3 linked regions of the Tamandua tetradactyla genome follow. The protein of the gene in region 2 interacts with the protein of the main gene of each other region in a pairwise test. Links are inferred from orthologs where the notes say so. Each region holds a gene or a part of one and is shown on either strand. Other genes may lie near its edges.

Region 1 (7,394 bases), about 130 Mb from region 2:
ATAAGAGGATGTGAATTTGCCAGAACAACAACAAAAAGAAAATCACAGTTACCACAGTTCCTTGCCTACACACAGAGCTCACAAAGAATGGGAACAAGAAAACTGTGCACACAGCCCTTTTGACCACTTACTCCCAACCGGAGAGACGCAGAGTGGGAGAAGGCAAATCCATTAAAGAGCATCCCGGGAGGTACAATGTACTGAGGAGAAGACAGGTGAGACTGTGAAGGAAGAACAGGCGAATCTATTCTAACTTTGCCTAGTTGAGAATCTAGAGAAGAGACTTATTTACATGACCCAAAGACATAGCATCAGAAACACAGATAGGAAGTTGGGGAAAAGGTAAGTGTAGGAGAACAACAGTTCCCGGGGAGGGGCCACTGAATTGAACTCCAGTCACTGCATCACTGCTACCTGCACACCTGCCTTCACCTCCCAGCACAGGGGCTTGAGGGACATGCCAACGCGCAAACGCAGCTCCCCGTGTGCGCCCGGGTGGGTGCCGTGGTTTCCTCTCCTTATGTACCCCTGGGAGAGACCCCAACCACTGCCTCCCGGCGGGGAGAGACCCCCAACCACTGCCTCCCATGGGGAGAGACCCCAACCACTGCCTCCCGCTGGGGGAGAGACCCCAACCACTGCCTCCCGCTGGGGGACAGACCCCAACCACTGCCTCCCGCTGGGGGAAGACCCCAACCACTGCCTCCCGCTGGGGGACAGACCCCAACCACTGCCTCCCGCTGGGGGACAGACCCCAACCACTGCCTCCCGCTGGGGGAAGACCCCAACCACTGCCTCCCGCTGGGGGAAGACCCCAACCACTGCCTCCCGGCGGGGAGAGACCCCAACCACTGCCTCCGGCGGGGAGAGACCCCAACCACTGCCTCCCGCTGGGGGAGAGACCCCAACCACTGCCTCCCGGCGGGGAGAGACCCCAACCACTGCCTCCCGGCGGGGAGAGACCCCAACCACTGCCTCCCGCTAGGGGAAGACCCCAACCACTGCCTCCCGGCGGGGAGAGACCCCAACCACTGCCTCCCGCTGGGGGAGACCCCAACCACTGCCTCCCGCTGGGGGAAGACCCCAACCACTGCCTCCCGGCGGGGAGAGACCCCAACCACTGCCTCCGGCGGGGAGAGACCCCAACCACTGCCTCCCGCTGGGGGAAGACCCCAACCACTGCCTCCCATGGGGAGAGACCCCAACCACTGCCTCCCATGGGGAGAGACCCCAACCACTGCCTCCCGGCGGGGAGAGACCCCAACCACTGCCTCCCGGCGGGGAGAGACCCCAACCACTGCCTCCTGGCGGGGAGAGACCCCAACCACTGCCTCCCGCTAGGGGAAGACCCCAACCACTGCCTCCCGCTGGGGGAGAGACCCCAACCACTGCCTCCCGGCGGGGAGAGACCCCAACCACTGCCTCCCGCTGGGGGAGAGACCCCAACCACTGCCTCCCGGCGGGGAGAGACCCCAACCACTGCCTCCGGCGGGGAGAGACCCCAACCACTGCCTCCCGCTGGGGGAGAGACCCCAACCACTGCCTCCCGGCGGGGAGAGACCCCAACCACTGCCTCCGGCGGGGAGAGACCCCAACCACTGCCTCCGGCGGGGAGAGACCCCAACCACTGCCTCCCGCTGGGGGAAGACCCCAACCACTGCCTCCCATGGGGAGAGACCCCAACCACTGCCTCCCGCTAGGGGAAGACCCCAACCACTGCCTCCCGGCGGGGAGAGACCCCAACCACTGCCTCCCATGGGGAGAGACCCCAACCACTGCCTCCCATGGGGAGAGACCCCAACCACTGCCTCCCGGCGGGGAGAGACCCCAACCACTGCCTCCCGGCGGGGAGAGACCCCAACCACTGCCTCCCGGCGGGGAGAGACCCCAACCACTGCCTCCCGCTGGGGGAAGACCCCAACCACTGCCTCCCATGGGGAGAGACCCCAACCACTGCCTCCCGCTGGGGGAGAGACCCCAACCACTGCCTCCCGGCGGGGAGAGACCCCAACCACTGCCTCCCGGCGGGGAGAGACCCCAACCACTGCCTCCGGCGGGGAGAGACCCCAACCACTGCCTCCCATGGGGAGAGACCCCAACCACTGCCTCCCGCTGGGGGAAGACCCCAACCACTGCCTCCCGCTGGGGGAGAGACCCCAACCACTGCCTCCCGCTGGGGGAAGACCCCAACCACTGCCTCCCATGGGGAGAGACCCCAACCACTGCCTCCCGCTGGGGGAAGACCCCAACCACTGCCTCCCGCTGGGGGAGACCCCAACCACTGCCTCCCGGCGGGGAGAGACCCCAACCACTGCCTCCCATGGGGAGAGACCCCAACCACTGCCTCCCGGCGGGGAGAGACCCCAACCACTGCCTCCCGCTAGGGGAAGACCCCAACCACTGCCTCCCGCTGGGGGAAGACCCCAACCACTGCCTCCCATGGGGAGAGACCCCAACCGCTCCGTCCCAGGCCCCCGCCAGGTGCAGCGGGACCGTAAACTTGACTCCTCACTCTGCGGGCATTTTCTCCTAACCCTACGCCCCGACGAGGCAGGCACAGCTGCTGTCCCCACTCCACACAGAACAAGCCGAGGCGAACCTGCCCGGGCCGGCAGCCTCCGCTCGGATAAGCAGGGATATGCCGACCCCATGAATCCCGTCGGGGAGGAGACCCTCCACCCCCGAGCCTCCCGGCCACCCCTCCTCAGCCACAAGGGACCTGGGGAAGGACGCCGACCGCCCTGGACCCCAGGGGACCTAGAGAGGCCTCCTCGACCGCACCCCCGCGACGAGGCCGGCCGGAGCGAGGTACCTGCGGGCTGTCCTGCAACGCCTCCTCCAGAAGGAGCCTGTCCACGGCGGGCATGGTGCGCGGGCCGGGCCAGGGGCGCACACAAGGTCTGCGGGCTGGAAGTGCGGCCCGGGAAGGTTCTCCGGACTCGCGCGACGACGCGGACGCTCGGTGGGGCGGCCCAGCACGCCAGAGCCCGACCACGCCCCCGGCCCAAACCCTCCTTCCAGCCCAGCCCTCCCCTCAGCGGAGCCGGGTGACAGGAAGTGTGGCAGTGAAACGCCGGAAGCGTGGCGTCCATGCTTCCGTCCGCGCCCCGTCCCCAGCTCGCCTCCCAGCCCAGCCCTCCCCTCAGCGGAGCCGGGCGACAGGAAGTGTGGCGGGGTCGCCAGTGGGATGCCGGAAGTGTGTCTTAGCCGTTTCCGTCCGCGTCCCCGCCCCCGGCCAGCCTCGCCCAACCCTCCCCTCAGCGGAGCCGGGTGCCAGGAAGTGGGGTGGGGTCCCCAGCGGGACACCGGAAGTGTGGTGCCCTGTCCGCTCGCGCTCCGGTTCGGGGCTCCTTCTATCTACGGGGTGAGCCAAGTAGCGTTGGTCATTGCCGTCGGCGGGCCCCTGAAGCGTGGAAACCCAAGAAGGGACGCAGCCCGGAAGGCCTTGAGGAGCCGAGGCGCGGGACAGGAGTCGGTTGTGCGGTGGTGGACGGGCGTGCTTTCCTCAGAGACCGCGCGCTGCGGCCGACGCCGGAGCTGGTCTCCACGCCCTAGTGCCTCATGGCCTGTCACTTTGGGAAGGCTCATAATCAGATTCTTAGCCCTGGAGAAGGCACCGCTTGATGGTGCCTTGATGTGGGCCTTTTCGTGGCCTCAGATCCTTGTAAGTGAGGAAGGCCCGAGGCTGAAGCCAGCCGGGTCCGGTGCGGGCTAAGCTCCGTCCGCCGGGCGATTCAGCTGCTTTTGCAAAGATCCTAGTAGAAAAAAGTAATTGTAAATTATGGAATTACAGGACTAACTATGTAAAAATGGCCTATGCTGTAACATTCTTTCTGTCCTCATCGCTTTTACTCTCCAGGCCCGGGGAAACAAGTTTTAAGCCAAACCTACGCGTCCCCGATCTTTTCTCACCTAGCCATTCCCCTGTAGCCTCCACTGGTTTAATTTTTACTGCTCGGGTTTGGTCGAGATTCCGGAGAAGGCCCTGGAAGCAGGAATAGGTGATACAGAAAGAAGGTGGGGGATTTCTTTTTCTTAGTTGTTTTCTTTCAAATAGTTTTGACTGATTAGATTTGTACATGACCTTCAGCAGCAGTTGCAGAGCTGAGCTTTAAATTTCAGAGCCCAGGCTCTCAAAAACGTTATACACTGCTGCTGCCTGAAGCCTCTCGGTCTAGAATGAAAAGGTCTAGGATCTAGGCTTATAGGTCTGAATGAAAGGTTGAATTTTTTCTAAACCTCCTGAGCCTACGATGGGGTTTGGGAGTTAGGTTTTCCAGGACGTAGAGCGGGGAGGAGGAGGAGTTTAAAGAGCCCCGGAAACTCTCTTTCCTTAACTTCTGAACTCCAGGAGTATTAGTTTATACAGATAAGCGCTTATTTATCTTTACCTAATATGGATAGTCTTTAAACATTTTTGTTTGTTGATCTTTGGTTACCATCCAGAGGTGGGAAAATATACATTGAACAAATAGGAAATTAGACACAAAAAAACACAGAAATACATAACTCACTAATTAGAACTATAGTTTTTTTCTTTTTCTTGATATGTCTCTTAAGTAAGGTATCATCCACATCCTGTACTAATGGAACAATTCCTTTTCAGGGTTTTAGTTTGTGGACATTGTTTAATGTAACATGGAGTTCCTGGTTGTTGGAATTTCACTTGAATCAGTTTTGCATGTCCAGTTTTTCCATCAACTGGTTTTATAGCTTTTAAGATTTCTTCTGGGATAGGGGTGATTTGTTTATCTTTCTTCGTGAACATTAATGTGGCTTTTTGATTAACATCCATAGCAAGGGAACTGGGTATGTTTTAAATATATGGTTTTAACTAGGCAGTCTAGTAATTGTAGAAATAATTTCTTTGCATTTTTACCAGGCACCCCTGTTATAGTAGCTGATTGGTTGGAAATCATGTTAGGTTTTTATTTAATCTCTGGTATTAAGAAAAAAGTCAATTCATTAGTTTTCCATCTGTATTGTTGCCCAGGGCTCCTGGTGGGAGAAAAGTGTTGTTTCTTGTAGGAGAGCTCTGAGAAGTGCTGTTTGCCTTTTGAAGTCCTGGTCTTTTTAAAACTTGGTCCTGTTTTAAACTTTTAGGCAGGTTCAGCTAACTTAGAGATAGGTAATCTTAGTTCTCCATCTATTTTCTCTTGCACTGTCCTTATATCAGGAACACTCTGAGTAATAAAGGTTATATTTAAAATTTTGCATTCTTTGGACTTTTCAGATCCATATTAGTGTATATTGATACGTAGTATAAATTCTTTCAAGGAAAGCTGAAGTTTTTTTATATTGTTTCATTAGTTTTTTTTTTTGTTTATGGGTTTAGGGACCCCTTTTTTGCAGACTTGGAATAATATATTTTTTATAATGCTCTGATTAGCCCAGTTGTCGGAATTATTTGGATTCCATTCAGGATTTCGTACCAGTGTTGTTAAATTTGCTTTAGCATACACTGGGTTGTCAGGAGTTTCTCTTTGTTTTTTTTTTTAATTTTTTTTTTCCATTTTGCTTTTTCTGTTACTTTTCTCCATTCTTTTCTTGTTATTAAGGTATTTAATAAGGCCTGAGTATTAGCCCAATTTGGGTTATAGTTTGCTAATATTAAAGAAACTAGGCTTTCTTTTTTTTTGGTCCTCTCTATAGAGTGCTGTAATAGTTTGAAGCTGTTATGTACTCCAGAAAATCAGGTTCTTAAATTTAATCCACTCCTGTGGGTGTGGGCCTATTGATTAGGGATCTTTTGTTAAGATTATTTCAACTGAGATGTGACCCATCTTATTCAAGGTTTTAATCCCTGTGCTAGTTTGAAATTATGTACCATAGAAAAGCCTTGTTCTTCTAATCCAGATTCAATATTGTAGGGTGAGATCTTTTGATTAGATTGTTTTCATGGAGATATAATCCACTCGATATAGGTGTGACCTTTTGATTAGATGGACACGTGACTCTGCCCATTTAAGATGGGCCTTGATCAGTTTACTGGAGTTCTTTAAAAAGGGAGACATTTTGGAGAAGACACAGTTGTTTCAGAGCCGACAGAGATGCAGACATTTGGAGATTGTTGGAGTGCTGACACTAGCATTTGGAAATGCAAAGCCCAGCAGACATCACCATATGCCTTCCCATGAGATACTAAGCAAGCCAGAACCCAGAGTTGTGTCCCGGAGGAGCTAAGTGACGATCCACAGATCTTAGAGAGGAAAGCGCTGGAATCAGAAGGTGGAAGCAGTGGAACCAGAATAAGGACCAGCAGATGCCAGCCACATGCCTTGTCATGTGACAGGTATCAGCCTTCCTTGAGTCAAGGTATCTTTCTTTGGATGCCTTAATGTGGACATTTTTTTGGTCTTAGAACTGGAAACTTGCAACTTAATAAATTCTCTTTTTAAAACCCATTCCATTTCTAGTATATTGCATTCCAGGAGCATTTAACAAACTAAAACATTCCTCTTATTTGGGTCCTTTATAGAAGGTTAAAACACATAGAGATGAAATTAAGAAAAGTTCACATAAAAAGCTCCAGAGAAGCTGAGAGGAAGCCACTAAAGCCAGAAGCTGGAAGCAGTGAAAGCTGGGAGAGAAGGACCAGCAGATGCTGCCAGGTGCCTTCCCTATGTGACAGAGCAGCCCAAGCTAGCTTGTAGCCAGTCTTCAGAGAAGGTATCATCCTGTTGATTCCTTTATTTGGACATTTTTCACGGCCTGCAATTTGTAAGTTCATAAGCTAATAAATTCCCAATGTAAAAGCCAACCCATTTCTGGTTTATTACATCATGTCAGCTTTAGTAAACCAAAACAAGTGGGATATTATTTTCCCAGTTACATAAATTCATTGTGGAGGATGTGATACTCACATATATAAATCTTCTTGGGTCTCCCTGTTGTCCTTTCCTGTGGGCACTTGCTGGATGGGGAGAAGTTTTATAGTGGCTCAGCTGCTGGTCTTAGAGAGCATCCTGGCTAGACTGAATTTCCTGGCAGCTATGGTGAGGGAAAGGAAACCATTTCTATTTCACGCTTTTTTTTTTAACCTTCAGTTAAGGTTTAAAAAGAGGAGGCGGAGGTAGGGGAGCTTCATCCTTCATCTATCTGCTCCCTGGTTATAGGGCAGAGGTGGAGCAGATGAAGGAATTAATAAAGGCTCTACTGGATCCTCTGGATTTGAATCTGGGAGACATTTTTCTTTTCCCTACTAATCTTTACAGGTAAAATTTTACACTTTCTCACCTACATTGATTGCTGAGAGACAAAGGACTGAGAATACCTCCCCCATCTGTGGGCCCAGGCCTGGGACTCCCCTCCACTCTGAGAGCAGGTTATTTCTTGGCCGCCTATATGACGGGACAGGCGTTAAAGGCCATCAGACATCTGTGGGGAAAGATTGT
Region 2 (6,994 bases):
TTTGAATCTCCACGTTTGATTCGGTGATAGTAAAGAAATATGATCTAGGAGCAAAATGAATGACAAGAGAAACCAATTGGGAATAAAACATTTTGCTCTGATAATCCACCCAGAGATAATCAAGAGTTGGATGCAGAATAATATAAGCACCTTAAAATATTCTAATGCAAGAACATTTTATCCTTCAAAATCTTCTGAAAGTTATTTGGCAATACAGATGATAAGACATAAAATTTATCATGGTTTAGAGTATTAAATACTAAGGACAGCTTTGCTTGTTTTTAAGGTTATTTTTATTACAGAAATATGAAATACTAAAGTCTGATTGGGTCTCTTTTAAGAGGCTAGATATTTGCCTTACCTTTACTACCTTGTAGTCACACAAGTATTCCACCTCATAATTGTTTAGATTCCTTTTGGTGATTCCAATGGATTTACATGTGAGCTTTTCTTTTCTACATAATTCCTGAAGAGTATCAAGTGAAACTAGGCAAGGCACACACCAAGCTACAATAAGAAAATAGAATTCTTTACTAATGAAATAGCTACTGATTAAAACAAAAAAGAAAAACTTAACACTTCTATATCCCCACCCTTCAACTGGCAATTTTACAGGACTAAAAAATCATGACAAGAAACCAATCATGCATCTTCAAGAAAAAAATTAAGCATTAAAGACTAGTTTGGTAAATTCATCTTCCGGATTTTCTCACAGTTCTCTATCCTACTATGTTTAACTGATGCCAATTAATTTCTACTAAGCCACTTGAACAAAATACTTCATGTCTGTAAGCTTTCTTGAGATTACATACAGATGCAAAAGTCAATAGATAATGTTTTTTTATTTTTCCATTATTTTCTACATAGCATATATGAACGCTATAGAGACTGAAACTTAGATCTCTAGGATATTATACTTATCCATTATATTCTTAATAGAATATGACTGATATTTTCATAAACTTAGATCTCTAGGACAATATTTATTATTGTTAGAAATACATCTAAAGTATACTTTAAAACACAATCTGATAACCCATTAAAAAGTAACTTTTTTCCTTCTTCTTAAGTGGACAATGGGAACTGAAATAAATTCAAATATAGCTCTATAGTTACAAAACATATACACCCTGCATCCTACTTTTCCCACTTTGGAATGTTGCGTGAAATTTTAACTTTTTTGTTTTGCCTATTTGCAATGTATTATCATTAAGGTAAATAAACCCAAGAGCTATAATAAAGAGTGCATGCTAATCTTTTGCAGTACTCATTTCACGTATGGTTTTAAAAAGCTAAGTGTTACAAAACAGAGTATTCAATTTATATAATATATATACCAAACTTGAAGAAAATCAGACCTATTCATAATTAATCTTACAGAAGCCAGAAACTGACTGAACTGATTTGTGTTGCAGATCTCACCCTAAAATATCCGCAAACCATATGCTTTCAAACTGCATTTAAAATCTAGGTTAACACAAAACTGATGTTTAGAAATGTGTAATAACTTTGCTTTTGGTTTAGTCTGAGAGTGAGCACCAGAGGGGGCCGGAGTCCTCTGCCCTATCCCTAGCTGGGTCACTGATTCGCTGAAAAAATGTGAGGGTTAGAAAAAATTTGGTTTACCAAACAAAAGTTTTAAGTAAACTGAAGTATACCTTAGTAGCTCTCCAAGGTAGTGGTGATATAACCTTTTGTGTTTTGAGGCGATTTTCCAGTGAAGAGAGAACACGGCGGCTCAGACTTGACTACATCCTTTCCTCACTCTCCTCAACTCACCAGGAGACTGACTTTATTGTGGGAAACCTTTAGCACCATTTCCAGCAAGCCCCTTCCTTCAAACTTATAATTGTAAATCAAGACAGTGAAATCCCTGGAAGGGTTGTTTGCTTTGAGGTGGTGGTTTAAGAACAGCAGAGTGGTAGAACAGAAGTGATCCCTTAACTGCTTTCCATCTAATCAACTTGAGGATGCTTTGTGTAAAGTTATCCTCACTCCACTAACCATGTGCAAAGGAGGGCCCTCTTTGGTATTTACCCAAGGTGTATTTGTCTGCCATCCCTAAACGTTTTATCTGGTTGAAGTAACATGAGGATTCAAGACAAAACCCTAGATGGAAATGCTATCTTTGAGGATAAAAAATACATATATAAAAAAACCGCAAACATTTAGTAAAAATTCCGATACTCTAATCGCCTAAAAAAAAAAGAATTCGATGACAAGATTACATGTTTCATCACCATCACAGAAACCTAACACTAGTTTACATTTTAGCCATTCATTGCTAAAGGAAGGGAAATTCAGGGATTGTGTGACGGTAGTTCATCTATGTGGGTGGAGAGGAGTGCTTGAAAACGCCTTTAAATTCTAGAATGTGTGGCAAGTTCTAGCCTTTCTGATAACTCCCACACGCACACGCATCGGCATCTAATTCTCTGGCGTCCACCTCAATTTCACGCGAGGTTCTTGTGCCAGAGGCGCATTCCCATATGCCCCTTACTGGGGTATCCTCCACTAAGGGGCTTCCCCTCCCACTGCGTCCCAATTGGGCGTACGCTTGTTTCTTCTTTTTCTTGATATTAAGATGAAAGTTACACAACCCACATTTCTCCCTTTCCAGTTAAAGCATCAACACAACGCAAACGTCCCGTTCAAACCGCCACAAAGAAGTCAGCGCGCCCCCCGGCCCCGGTTACCCGCGAGACACCCCAGAGGGCACCGACCCCGGCCCGAAGAGGAGGCGCGCGGGCCGGGCTGACCCGACCGACGCCTTCAGGCCGTGGGGGAGTCAGGTTCCGGGGCTCGTAGGTGGCCCTGCGGAGTCCCCGCGACCCTACAGCCCAGGCGTGCGGGGTCGCCCGGCGCGGGGAGGCAGAGCCGGGGGCGGGTCGGGCCGGGGCCCAGTGAGCAGCTCCCCTCCCCGGCCTCACCTCGGCGCGCCTCGGGCCCGGCCGCCGCCATCTTGCGGACTCCCATTCAAACTGGCGCGGGCCGCGGGGTCGCCCGCCTCCGCCCCGCCTCCGCCGCGGGTTCGCTCGGGTCTGCTGCCGCGGCGCGGCAACGTCACACGGCGCGCTGGCGTCGCGCGTGCGCCACGGGACGAGCGTGGGGGCGGGGCAGGGACCGGAAGTGGGCAAGGCAGAGAGCTGGACGGAAGGAGGGGTCGTAGGGGTCTTCGCGTCCGAGGTCCCACCTGGGCTTTCCGAGTTTGTTTGCACCCAGCTAGATGCGTCTCGCGTGCTTCGGGTTTGTTTTCTTAGTGCCCCTGTGGGTGTTCGGTCCGAGATCCTGGTGCAACCGGCCTGAGGGGGTCTCAGGTGCCCCGGGGTCGCCGGCAGGAACCCCCGCTTCGCATCGCATCCGTGCTTACTGCCTTTAAACGACAACCAGGCCACGCTTCTAAAGTAGTATATTGCGAAGTCTTTTGTAGAAAGCCATTGGACAAACTCCAATAGTTTTAAAAATTCATGTAAAACTTAAATATTTCAAAACATCATGTATAAATTTGAAATACTGAATATAAACGTCGAACATTAAGGAATGGTTCATTAGATACTGCCTCACCACCTAAAAAAAGATGTTTATGAAGCTGTTAGTATCAGAAGTGTTTGATAAGCCGAAAAAGAAAAAAGAAAACAGTAAACCTAGAAACCCCAAAGAACATTAAACAAACCTCCTAACCCCGGGAAACCTACAAAATATACAACTATAAATGAATAGTACGAAAAATGGAAGAGGAATAAGTGGAAATAAAAGATAATCAGGGGTTTTCTTTTTGGCTTCTCGCTTTTATTTACCCAGTTTCTATAATGAGCATCTTATTACATGGATAACAAAGAATAAAAGGTCCTAGTCAGTCGCATCACATCTAAGGCCCGTGGTAATTTGGTTCCTATTCACTGCTCATCATTTCATTCTACCTTATTTCTTTCTTTCTCAAATATTCCCTGCCACCTTCACTGGCCTTTCGTCATTTACCACTCTGCCTAGAAAGCTCCTACCTTTCCTTCCTTGAGGATTACTCCTACCTGTCCTTCATAACTTGGATAGCGCATCATCCGCTCCCCAGGCTTCTCTATTCCCCAAGCCCTCTCCAAGTATACTCACTGCTCAGACTTCTCTATTCCCCATCCCCTCTCCAAGTGAACTCATTGCTCTTCCCAAATGTGCCCGAGCATCCTTCATTACTGAAGTTCTTTCTTGGTTTTCCTTATACCTCTTTTCCCTCTATCCGAACTAAATGTTTCCCCTCACTCACTCTCCTCCAGGCCTTTTTTCCACTCATTCAAAATCTGTTATCATACATTTCCTTTGTGCTATGCAGGGACTAGATTCTGAGAATAGAATAGCTCCCAAGGAATACTCTGGTCTGTCCTCATGGAGTTTATTTCTAGTGGGAGGAGCAGATAGTAAACAAGTAAATAACTAAGGCAGCCAACTCTAAATTCTTCTTCCTTCAGAGGACATTTCCTCCCTTCACATGGCTACTTGTCCTTGAATGCCAGCTTAAATGTCACTTTTTCAGAGGCCTATTCACTCTATCTGAAGGAGGTACCTTACCATCTTCCCCCATTCTATCTTGCCTTTACATCCTTAAAAACACTCACCAAAATGTGCAATTAACTTGTCTGTTTTTATTTTTCAATAAAAATGTATAGAATGAATGTATTACACTGTTTTGTAAATTGACTTTTCCTTTATTTTTCTAGCCTTGAATCCTATCACTTTCAGGGCATGAATTAGGTCCTGTTCCTTCAGCATTCTCACTTCTATCCAGAGCAGCAATCTTCAAGGTATGACATGGGGACCTTGAGCCCCTGGAGGAGGTTCACAAGTTCGAAACTATTTTCATAAAAATACCAAGATGTTATCTGCTTTTATCTACTATTCTTCTCTCATAAGAGCTTTCCAGGTTATACAACGTGGATGTTGCAAAAGACTGCAGAACCAGATGTGAGATTACAGCTATTTTCTATCAAGCCAGACATTCAAAAACTTTGAAAAATGAGAAACAATACCACTTTTGCCAGTAAACTTTTTATTTTTCATAAAAATGCTATTTATATTGAAAGTAATATTATTTAAAACTGGTCATTTTAAAATAAAATCTCTGTTTTAATTCATAATATGATAAATATAAATATATATAATAAAGCTCTTTGGTATTTTATTCATTTGTGAGAGTGTCAAAAGGGGTCCCAAGAATAAAATGTCTAAGGACTTTGGTAAACCCTCCATAAATGAATGGAGACAGAGACAAAAAGCCACTAAAAGACACCTATATCTTCAAGGGCCATGTGTAGAATTATGCCTCCCTCCATTTTTTTTTCATAAAGACAAGAGAAAACATGATTTCTGAAAGCCCAAAGGGTGTTTCCTCTTCCAATGAAATAAATGTTCTTTGAGAGGCAAAGAAAAATACAATGAACAATGGATTAAAAATGTAAAGTTCAAAGTAATGTTGTAGGTATTGTGCTTAGAAGAGTAAGCAGTCAATACAAATTAAATTTACAAAAAAGGCATCTGAATATTATTCGTTCAGAATTCACCAGTTATCTTTTGTGAAGCCTTGGATAAATTACTTACTTCCTGTGAATCTATTTGTGCATCTATAAACAGAAATAATACATGCCATGCTATTCTCTACAAATTAACAACTACTCACAGGTCTGTGGTGAGAGCAGAGTTAAAAAGGAGCAAAAGAACTTAAGCAAAGAAATAGAACAATATTGTTATAAATATTACATTTTTATGTAATAATTTCATTCGCTGTCATTTTAGAAATCCCGAGATGTTCCCTTAGAATTTGTTTTGTGCTTGGATCATATTTTTTTTATCCTTAAAAACTCTTAGGCATATAAAAGCTTTAGTTTGTGGTTAAATATTTTATGGCCCGCCAGAAATTTCAGAGTATTAACTGGGGTGTTTTGGCTCAGTCTTGAGCTCTAGCTGGCAGTCAAGGGCTGTGCTCTGGCATCCTCAGTAGCCGTGGCCCCCATCAATGTTGCTTATGTTTCTCAGGGCTCCTCTGCGCTACTTGTCTGCCCCACATTCCACCATCATAAGCCACTATCATGGTAAAGCTCATGAAAGCTGGTAAAAATCAAGGTAACGCCAAGAAAATGACTCCTCCTCCAAAGAAGGTAGAAGAAAATGGTGATGATGAGGAAATGTCAGCAAATGAAGATGATAGCAGTGGAGAAGAGATTGTTATTCCTCAGAAAAAAAAGCAAGAAGGCCATCACAACTCCAGCAAAGAAGATGGTGGTTTCCCCAACAAAAAAGATTGCAGTTGTCACACCTGCCAAGAAGGTAGCTGTAACCCTTGGCAAAAAAGCAGCAGCCATACCTGCCAAGAAGACAACTACACCAGCCAACACCTGCCAAGAAGAAGCCACACCTGGCAAGGCAGTGGTAGTGGCGACTCCTGGTAAGACGGGAGCTCTGACCCTAGCCAAGGGGGCAGAGAATGGTAAAAATGCCAAGAAGGATGACAGGGATGAGGAAGATGATGAAGACAGCAAGGAAGAGAACAAGGATGAGGATGAATCTGAGCCAGCAGTGATAAAGGCAGCCACTACTACTTCTGCCTCAGAGGATGACGATGATGAAAATGAAAATGATGAAGACAAAGATGAGGATGACAATGATGAAGATGATGATTCTGAAGAAGCAGCTGTGGAGACTACACCAGCCAAAGGAAAAAAATCTCCTAGAAAAGCTGTTCCTGTGAATCGAAGAGCATGGCTGAAGATGAAGAGGATGAGAAGGAGGAGGAGGAAGAGGATGATGACAAGAAGAATGATGAGAATGATGAGGAGGGGGAGACGGGAGAAAGGGGAAGAGCCTGTCAAAGAAGCACCTGGAAAACAAAAGAAGAAAATGTCCAAGCGAAAAGCCACTCCTGAAGTCAAGGAACAGAAGAATTAGAAACTATAGCGTTCAGTCTTTTTGTTGGAAACTTGAACTTCAACAAATCTGCTCCCAAATTAAA
Region 3 (7,952 bases), on a different chromosome or scaffold from region 2:
GACTTGGTATTCTGAGGGCCAAAGGCAGGCACAAAGAGATTTCATGCAAGTAAAAATGTCTGGTATATACTTTAAAAGATTCCTTCCTGCTCATGGGGCTCCAGGGTGGAAGTGGGTCCAGTAGGAAGATTGCTGGGAGGTGACAGCAGCCTGGACTAGGATGGAGAGAAGTTGTGGGCCCTGGGCAGTATTTCGGAGGCAGTATCAACAGGTAGAGCTGAGCTTGTGAGGTATGGAAGCCATGAAGCCAAGATGAGGAGAAATCGGATGCAGCTACAGGAGGCTACAGGAAGAGCGGGAGAGAGGAAGGACACAGTAGGAAGCAGTAGCCAGAGGAGCCTAGAGTTCAGGAGAGGCCCATGGGCCGCAGCCGATTTTGAGGGAGAAAGCGTTAGCAATCCAACCGAGTCACTATCCGCAGCTCGGCGGGCTAGGAAGGCAAGGGGCGGGACCCCGCCCTGCACAAACTGCCGGCAGGGGGCGGGGCCCCCGGTCGCAGTACGCAGGCGCGGAGCAAACCCGTCTCCATGGCGACAAGGACCAAGCTCCGACCCCAACTACTCTGCAACTGTCGTATCTTGGACTTAAGACCTACTGGAACCCGTCGTCCTTGACCGTGATCCCGCGTCAGATCACCTTTCTGCTCTCTGTCCCCGGCCTCGACATGGGTGACCTGGAGCTGCTGCTACCCGGCGAGGCTGAGGTGCTGGTGCGGAGTCTGCGCAGCTTCCCGGTGCGCGAGATGGGCTCCGAAAGGTGAGGCAGCCAGGTGAAGGGTTAGATGGAGTCATGGGGTCAGGGTCCTTGAAGGGGAAAACTTGGGCCAACTCTGGGGAGAGGAGTGGTGGGGTGGAGGGCCCACCCAGCCTCTCTGCGTGCAGAAGCAGAGATCTCAAGATGAGGATTAATGACTTCCAAGACCCCTCTGGTCCTTCAGGATCAGGATGGGCTTTATTAGGACCCAGCCAGCACCCCCACTCCATTACACATACATGTACCCAAATGCACACACCCTCTGGAGCAGGTGGAACCAGCAGCATGAGAACCTGGAGAAGCTGAACATACAGGCCATCCTGGATGCCACAGCCAGCCAGGGTGAGCCCATCCAAGAGCTGCTGGTCACTCATGGGAAGGTAAGCCGAGGTCACAGGCAGGGTTCCTGCCTTCACCCCACACCCCCACCTGCTCTATCCAGGAGTATCTCTGGCCTGTTACAACTGTCCTTCCCAAAGAGGAAGGAGCAGTGTGTGAGAGTTTCATTCTATACCACTATTGGGCAGGACCTTTGCTTGCCAGGCCCATGCAGGGCACAAGCTTATAAACAGGACAGTTGTGGATCTTAGGACAGCCTAGGATTCAGGGAAAGGGCCCAAGCACTAAAGGCATCCCTGAAAAGAGTGTAAGGCACTCACACACATAGTGGATGGGACCTTGCATGGAGGCAGCCTTCTCAACATGGGAGTGCAGAGTTAGGCACCAGCGATCTGCCTGGCCAGAACATGGGCCAGTAAGTGACCTGAGATATTACTTGATAAAAGGGTTCCCCTGCAAGAAAAAGAGGGAGCCCACTACTGTGGGGATAGGGCACTGTGAAGGGCCCCAAGTTAGGGAAAGGCCAAGGCACACAAGAATATCCGAGGTCAGGGACAAGAGGGAAGGCAGGAACAAGAAGGCCTGAGAGGGAGGTCAGATGGTGGAACAAAAGTATATGTATGTGGGGAGCAGGAAGATCCCCACTGCCTGGGGGCAAAGCAGGGGCCAGTCACTGGCAGCATGGGAGAAGACCCCACAGAAATGCTCCTCCAGGCAGCTGGAGATGAAAGTCTAAGGCTCAGGAGAGAGGTCAGGAAGGGTATTCATGGAACTTGGGAGAGTAAGGCGGCTCAGGCAAGTCTGAGACCTAGGTCAGGCTAGGCCAAGAATGGGGCATGGCTAGGCCAAGTCGGGCTCATCTCATCCCGATCCTTGCCCTGACTCCTCAAAGATCCCGACACTGGTGGAGGAGCTGATTGCAGTAGAGATGTGGAAGCAGAAGGTGTTCCCTGTGCTGTGCAAGTTGGAGGACTTCAAGCCTCAGAATACCTTCCCTATATACATGGTGGTGAGCTGGACCCTGGTTCCCATCCCCACCTACACCTTCAGAAAGCCCTGGACTAGAGGGCAGCTGGTGACTCCTAACCCTTTGTCAGCCTCAGGTTCTGTCCTCTGCTTTGGCTGACAGGTGCACCATGAGGCCTCCATCATCAACCTCCTGGAGACAGTTTTTTTCCATAAGGTAAGACACAGGTTCTGTCCATAGGCCACTGCCCCAGGCCAGAGCTGGACAGGAAGAGGGTTTGTCTCTGTAGGGAGAGCATCAGAGGCAGAAGGTTTTCCCTCCTCTTGCCTCCCAGGAAGTGTGTGAGTCAGCAGAGGACACCGTCTTGGACCTGGTGGACTACTGCCACCGCAAACTGACTCTGCTGGTGGCCCGGAGTGGCCATGGCAGTCCCCCTGAGGAAGAGGGATCCCAGGACAACACCCCCATGCAGGTGGACTGAGGTTCCCTGGGGCTGGCAAGGGCTGAATCTAGGCTTCACAAGTCCTAGGCAGGAAGGGGGTGGCCCAAATTGAGCACTTTGTGGCCTCCAGGAGCTACAGAAGCAGGCAGAGCTGATGGAATTTGAGATTGCACTGAAGGCCCTCTCAGTGTTGCGTTACATCACAGACTGCATGGACAGGTGGGCAGACTGGCTGGGTCTGGGTGGGGCCTGTACTTGAGGGTGAGGAAACAGAGCCTGCAGCCTCTGCTCACTTCCCCCCACTCCCGACCTCCAGCCTGTCCCTGAGCACCTTGAACCGAATACTCAGCACCCACAACCTGCCCTGCCTCCTGGTGGAACTGCTGCAGCACAGTCCTTGGAGCCGGCGTGAAGCTGGTAAAGGCCTCATCAATCTGCCTAAACCCCAACCCACTGCTTACAGGACATCCTCAGGATTGGCAGGGGTGGGCCCATAGAAAATACCAGGATGTCTCCCTCAGGTTGGGCCTAGATCTGGGCTCTCCAGCAGGCAAGGCCCATGTGTTCATTACTGAAGACTCAGCCTGCTCTGGGGCCAACAGTACCTCAACCCTGACAAGTCCTTGTGGTTCAGGCTTTTCCCACCATGCCCGGGCAGTGACCAGTCCACCATTCCACATGGCTAGCTCACTTAAAGATCATGCAATGCCTGCATCCATTGTTTTGGTTCCTCTCTCAGGCAAACTGCAGCGATTCGAGGGTGGATGTTGGCAGACAGTGGCCCCCTCAGAACAGCAAAAACTGAGCAAGCTGGATGGGCAGGTGTGGATTGCCCTGTACAACCTGCTGCTAAACCCTGAGGCCCGGGCCCGCTACTGCCTCACAGGCTTTGCCAAGGGTCAGCTGCTCAAGGTTGGGAGTTGCCCCAGGCTCCCCGACACCAGTCTTCTCTGCCCCAGCACTGCCCCCTCCATCCCACCCCATTCATCGCTGCCATTTGTCTTTGTACACCCACCTCAGCCTTTCCATACTTTGGACCTCAGGTCATGAAGCAGTCAATGGGGCTCAGGCCCCACAAGCATCCTCAGCCCAGCCTAGCCCAGCCCAGATCCTCCTGCTCCTTGGCCCTTTGGCCAGTATGTGCCTAACACAGCCTCCACCAACACCCTTGCAGCTTCAGGCCTTCCTCACTGACACACTGCTTGACCAGCTGCCCAACCTGGCAGATCTGCAGCATTTTCTGACCCACCTGGCCCTGGCTGAACCCGAGGCCCCCAAGAAGGACCTGGTGTTGGAACAGGTAGGCACTGGGATATTACTTGGGACCACTGTCCTCTTTGCCTTTGCTCCTCCCTGCTACTCTCTACTTCTCCCCCCAACCCACTCCACTCCCCAGATCCCAGAAATTTGGGAGCAGCTGGAGCGAGAGAACAGAGGCAAGTGGCAAGCCATTGCCAAGCACCAGTTGCGACATATGTTCAGTGCCTCAGAGCAGGACCTGCGGCTACAGGCACGGAGGTAAGCCCTGCTGAGCTGATAGAAGGGGTGGTAAAGAAGTAGGAGGCATGGCCTGGGAATGGGGGGCTCCCTATGTGCCCATCTGCCAGGCCTAGTCATGTCTTCCTGACCCTTCCCCAGGTGGGCTGAGACCTACCGACTGGATGTGCTGGAAGCAGTGGCCCCAGAGCGGCCCCGCTGTGCCTACTGCAGCGCAGAGGCCTCTAAGCGTTGCTCCAGATGCCAGAACGAATGGTATTGCTGCAGGTGAGGGTACCCTAGGATCCTGGAACCCTGAGCCCCACCTCCAAACACTGCCCTCCTCACTGGTCCATCTGTCTGCAGGGAATGTCAAGTCAAACACTGGGAGAAGCATGGAAAGGCCTGTGTCCTGGCAGCCCAGGGTGATAGAGTCAAATGAAAGTTGTGGCCGTGGAGGGCCGACCAACTCTGCCAGAGGAGCCCACCCAGAGTGCGCTCCTCAACCTAGAAACTTCAGCCTGGCCTCCTGTGTGGGTAGCGCCATTGGGTGGGGTAGAGCAGCTGACCATCCCCTGCCAAAGCAAAGCGCTCCCCACTTCCTGCCCCACCCTGGGACACTGCCTCAGAAAGCTGGGGCAGGAAGACTGGGCAGGATGTGGAGACCCTCTTCCTCTAGCAGAGTAAAGCAGGCCTCTAGAAACACGCTTGTCTCAGTGTGCTCTGTCGCAGTCGGGGGCAGAGGGGGTGGAGGGGGGGTGTGTTCATGTGGATGAGGGAGGCAAGGAAGGGAATGCGGGGATTTTGCCAGTCTCCCCACCCCAACTCCTCTCGGCTCCGCCTGCGGGCTGACGGAACCCCGCACCCAAGTTTCCGTTGCACAGCTCTCCTTGGCTCTCACCGAGCTCCGCCCTGCCTGAATCTAAGGGGGCGGTGTCGCAGTCGGGACCCGCCCGCCCGGCGCTTGCTTGAGCGCGCAACCCTGGCCAGGCCAGGCGGACCATGTCGGCCGAGCCCGAGCTCATCGAGCTACAGGAGTTGACACCCGCTCGCAGCCCCGGCCCCGGCCGTACCCGCCTGGCGCGCACCAATGCGCTTCGCATTGCGCCAGGCACTGCACGCTACCCCGAACGGCACCTGGCTCCTGGCCGTGGCCACCGTTTCCAACCGGCTGGGCCCGCCACGCACACCTGGTGCGATCTCTGCGGCGACTTCATCTGGGGCGTCGTGCGCAAGGGCCTGCAGTGTGCCCGTGAGTAGCAGCCCATTGCGCAGACGAGAACAGAACCGCCGCTGAGGGGGAGCGCCATCGCTCCGGACTAAGTCGAGGTGGAGGGGGGTGGCAGGAATGGCCCCACGGACCTGGGCCGTTATCTTGGGCTCCCATCGCGGGAGAGAGTGCTGACAGATGGTTCATCTTGCTATGCGCCACCTGCATCTGGGGCGGTTGGTCAGGGGCAGTTGCCTTTGAATTCCAAGCTGCTAATTTCAAGTTTCTTATCTTCCCTTTAAAGTGCCTTGGCCCTTCTTGAGAAAGGCTGTGAACCCATATCCCAGGCCTGCCCCTTCCCAAAGATTCACTTACCCAGATCCCACTAAAGAATACCCCTGTGGTGAAGGGAAGTTATGAAGGGAGGGGACCTGGGAAAGTTGAGAACGCTGGACAGGCCCCCTGCAAGCAGGGATTTTAAGTCTGTTCAGCAAACACCCACATGGGGCCAGTGAACCAGGTGCTGCAACATGGAATTCAGGGACACACCAGCCAGGCCTCTGTCATCCTGTGAATCACCATCACCGGCAAGCAGAGGTTGCTCTCCCATTTAAATCACCTGGGCGCTTTTACAGCCCTCCCACTCCCTATGCCTGGATCCCACCTCAGATGGGTTGCTGGAGATAGGCCCTATGCATCAGTAATCTTTTTGAAACTCCCCAAATCATTCTAATGTACAGCCTGGGTTGAGAATCACTGCTCCAGTCCATTCAGAAACCTAGGGATATAGTGTCAGGCCTGTGTGTGCACGGAGATCCTCCGTCCAATACAGGAGACTGCCCAGTATTCAGGTGACAGAAGCACAGAACTTATGATTGAATACAAAATATGAATGCTGCACCATTCCCAAGGAGAAATAAAGTGACCATGGAAACAAGAAATGGGATCGTTTTGAGTGTGTTTTTGAGATAGAGGCAAGGGAAAAATCAAGAATTGAGTTGGGGGTTTGCCTTAAACTGCTGGAGGAATGGTGGCAATTTCCACTGAGATGTGGAACTCCAGTGAATCGAAGAGGTGAGGTAGAGGAAAAGTGAGTAAAACTTTGGCCATATTCGGTCTGAAGTGTCTTTTAAACATTCAAGTGAATATGCTGATACACAAGATTTGCTCTGAGAAGAGAGGTCAGTGCCTGATGGAGCCTTAGATCTGGAAAGCAAAGCAAGTGGATAAGATAGGGGTAGTGAGAGTAGACAGAGGAGGGCAGCCATCAGGACTGAGCCCAGGCACTCCCCATTACGAGATCAGCAAGTTGGGGCAGAACCAATAAAAGAGCTGAACAGGAGTCGTGGAGGTGAGAGAAAAACCAAGAGAGTATGGGCACCTAGGAAAAGCAAGAGTTAAATAATACCGAGGAGGTAAGGGTGGAAAACTCAATCTCGCAAGTTGCCAAGGACCCTGGCCAGGGCAATCAATTCCGTGGAGGGAGGGGCAAGCCTGGAGTGGGTAAAAGAGGGAAGGTGAATAGTCAGATGCATAGAGATAAGTTTTGGAGTGAGGGGTGTAGAGACAGAAGACAAAAGACCAGAGGCGGTTAGGGATTTCTGTTTTTCCCTTAAGTAAGCGAGGGGGAAACAATATGGAAGGGGTAATCTCATTGCTAGGTGCTTGAGAGCCATCTATTGAGCAGACCTAGGTCCCTAACCGCCAGTGGCCTTCCTGCCAGTTTCTAAACACCCAGAGGCTGACATTAGAGTCTGTGTGGCAGCGGGTGGAAAATGAGACCCGAGAGAAGACCAAACAAGCAGAGCCCGGGGAATGGGCCCTCCACCCGGGGGCTTCCTTTGGGTCCCCCTGGGCGCTTCTCCGAGGTGAAAGTGGGACTCCCTCTGCCTTACGGCCCGGCCTTTCCGCAGACTGCAAGTTCACCTGCCACTACCGTTGCCGCGCGCTCGTCTGCCTGGACTGCTGCGGACCCCGGGACATGGGCTGGGAGCCAGCGCTGGAGCGGGACACCAACGTGGTGAGCGCGGTACGGGAAAGGGCGGGGCAGGGGGCATACGGGGGGGACACAGGCGCGCGGACCGTGGACGGGCCACAGTGCAAGCGTTCACAATTGCGGCCCGGACGCTACCCGCAATGAGCGTAATAACAGCGGATTTCCGGTGGCAAAGAGTCGCTGGTTCAGCGCACGGGTTCGAAGGGGCGTCTCCGGTGCGAATCTTGCAGTGACCCTAGGAACCCGAAGCCAATGGCGGCTCGCCATGAGCCGTCCCGGCACAGCACAGGCGCACTTCCCGCGCCTCCCTCACTTGCATCCGGTCCAGCGGCCACGCGGGTGCACATGCGCACACGCTCCCACACGTCCCCTACGGGTGGTGGGTCAGCGAGAAGGATCTGAGCTGAGCTGCCTGGGCGATGAGGTCATCCTGAAGGCGAGGCGGGCGTGGCCCCGCCCTTTGACGTTCCTCAATAAGAGAAGAGCTGAGTCTGGGCTGTCTACGTTTCCGCCTTAACGGTTGTGGCGTGGACACTGATCTGGCGCACGCGCGCACGGATACAGGCGCGCACGCGTCGGGTTGGCAGCGGAAGGCGAACCGGGCTAGTGAAGCGATCAGGCGTGCTCGCGCAGCGATGGGCGAGGCGGACGCGGGGACACCTTCTTTCGAGATGACCTGGAACAGCACTACAAGCAGTGGCTACTGCAGCCAGGAGGACTCGGACTCGGAGCTCGAGCAGTACTTCACGGCGCGCACCTCGCTGGCTCG

The links.
Region 1: the proteins of SUV39H2 (region 2) and APPL2 interact in binary tests that used the Homo sapiens proteins (3 or more experiments, as listed by UniProt). The link is inferred for Tamandua tetradactyla from reciprocal best matches to the Homo sapiens genes SUV39H2 and APPL2.
Region 3: the proteins of SUV39H2 (region 2) and RASSF1 interact in a two-hybrid assay, tested with the Homo sapiens proteins (2 studies listed by BioGRID and IntAct). The link is inferred for Tamandua tetradactyla from reciprocal best matches to the Homo sapiens genes SUV39H2 and RASSF1.

What each region holds. Positions count from the first base shown.
Region 1 is NC_135333.1:175,339,566-175,346,959, forward strand, and holds the start of APPL2 (DCC-interacting protein 13-beta), read right to left. Parts: upstream 3,041-7,394; 5' UTR 2,867-3,040; coding exon 2,813-2,866; intron 1-2,812. UniProt on the Homo sapiens protein: Multifunctional adapter protein that binds to various membrane receptors, nuclear factors and signaling proteins to regulate many processes, such as cell proliferation, immune response, endosomal trafficking and cell metabolism.
Region 2 is NC_135333.1:47,805,467-47,812,460, forward strand, and holds the start of SUV39H2 (histone-lysine N-methyltransferase SUV39H2), read right to left. Parts: upstream 3,046-6,994; 5' UTR 2,977-3,045; coding exon 2,931-2,976; intron 2,707-2,930; exon of another isoform or gene 1,659-2,706; intron 508-1,658; coding exon 362-507; intron 1-361. UniProt on the Homo sapiens protein: Histone methyltransferase that specifically trimethylates 'Lys-9' of histone H3 using monomethylated H3 'Lys-9' as substrate.
Region 3 is NC_135341.1:35,759,919-35,767,870, forward strand, and holds the start of RASSF1 (ras association domain-containing protein 1), read left to right. Parts: upstream 1-4,912; 5' UTR 4,913-4,979; coding exon 4,980-5,229; intron 5,230-7,100; coding exon 7,101-7,216; intron 7,217-7,294; exon of another isoform or gene 7,295-7,818; coding exon of another isoform or gene 7,819-7,952. Other genes in the region: ZMYND10 (zinc finger MYND domain-containing protein 10), read left to right, coding at 665-756, 1,025-1,133, 1,985-2,101, 2,222-2,275, 2,394-2,531, 2,632-2,720, 2,818-2,918, 3,241-3,413 and 4 more. UniProt on the Homo sapiens protein: Potential tumor suppressor. Required for death receptor-dependent apoptosis. Mediates activation of STK3/MST2 and STK4/MST1 during Fas-induced apoptosis by preventing their dephosphorylation.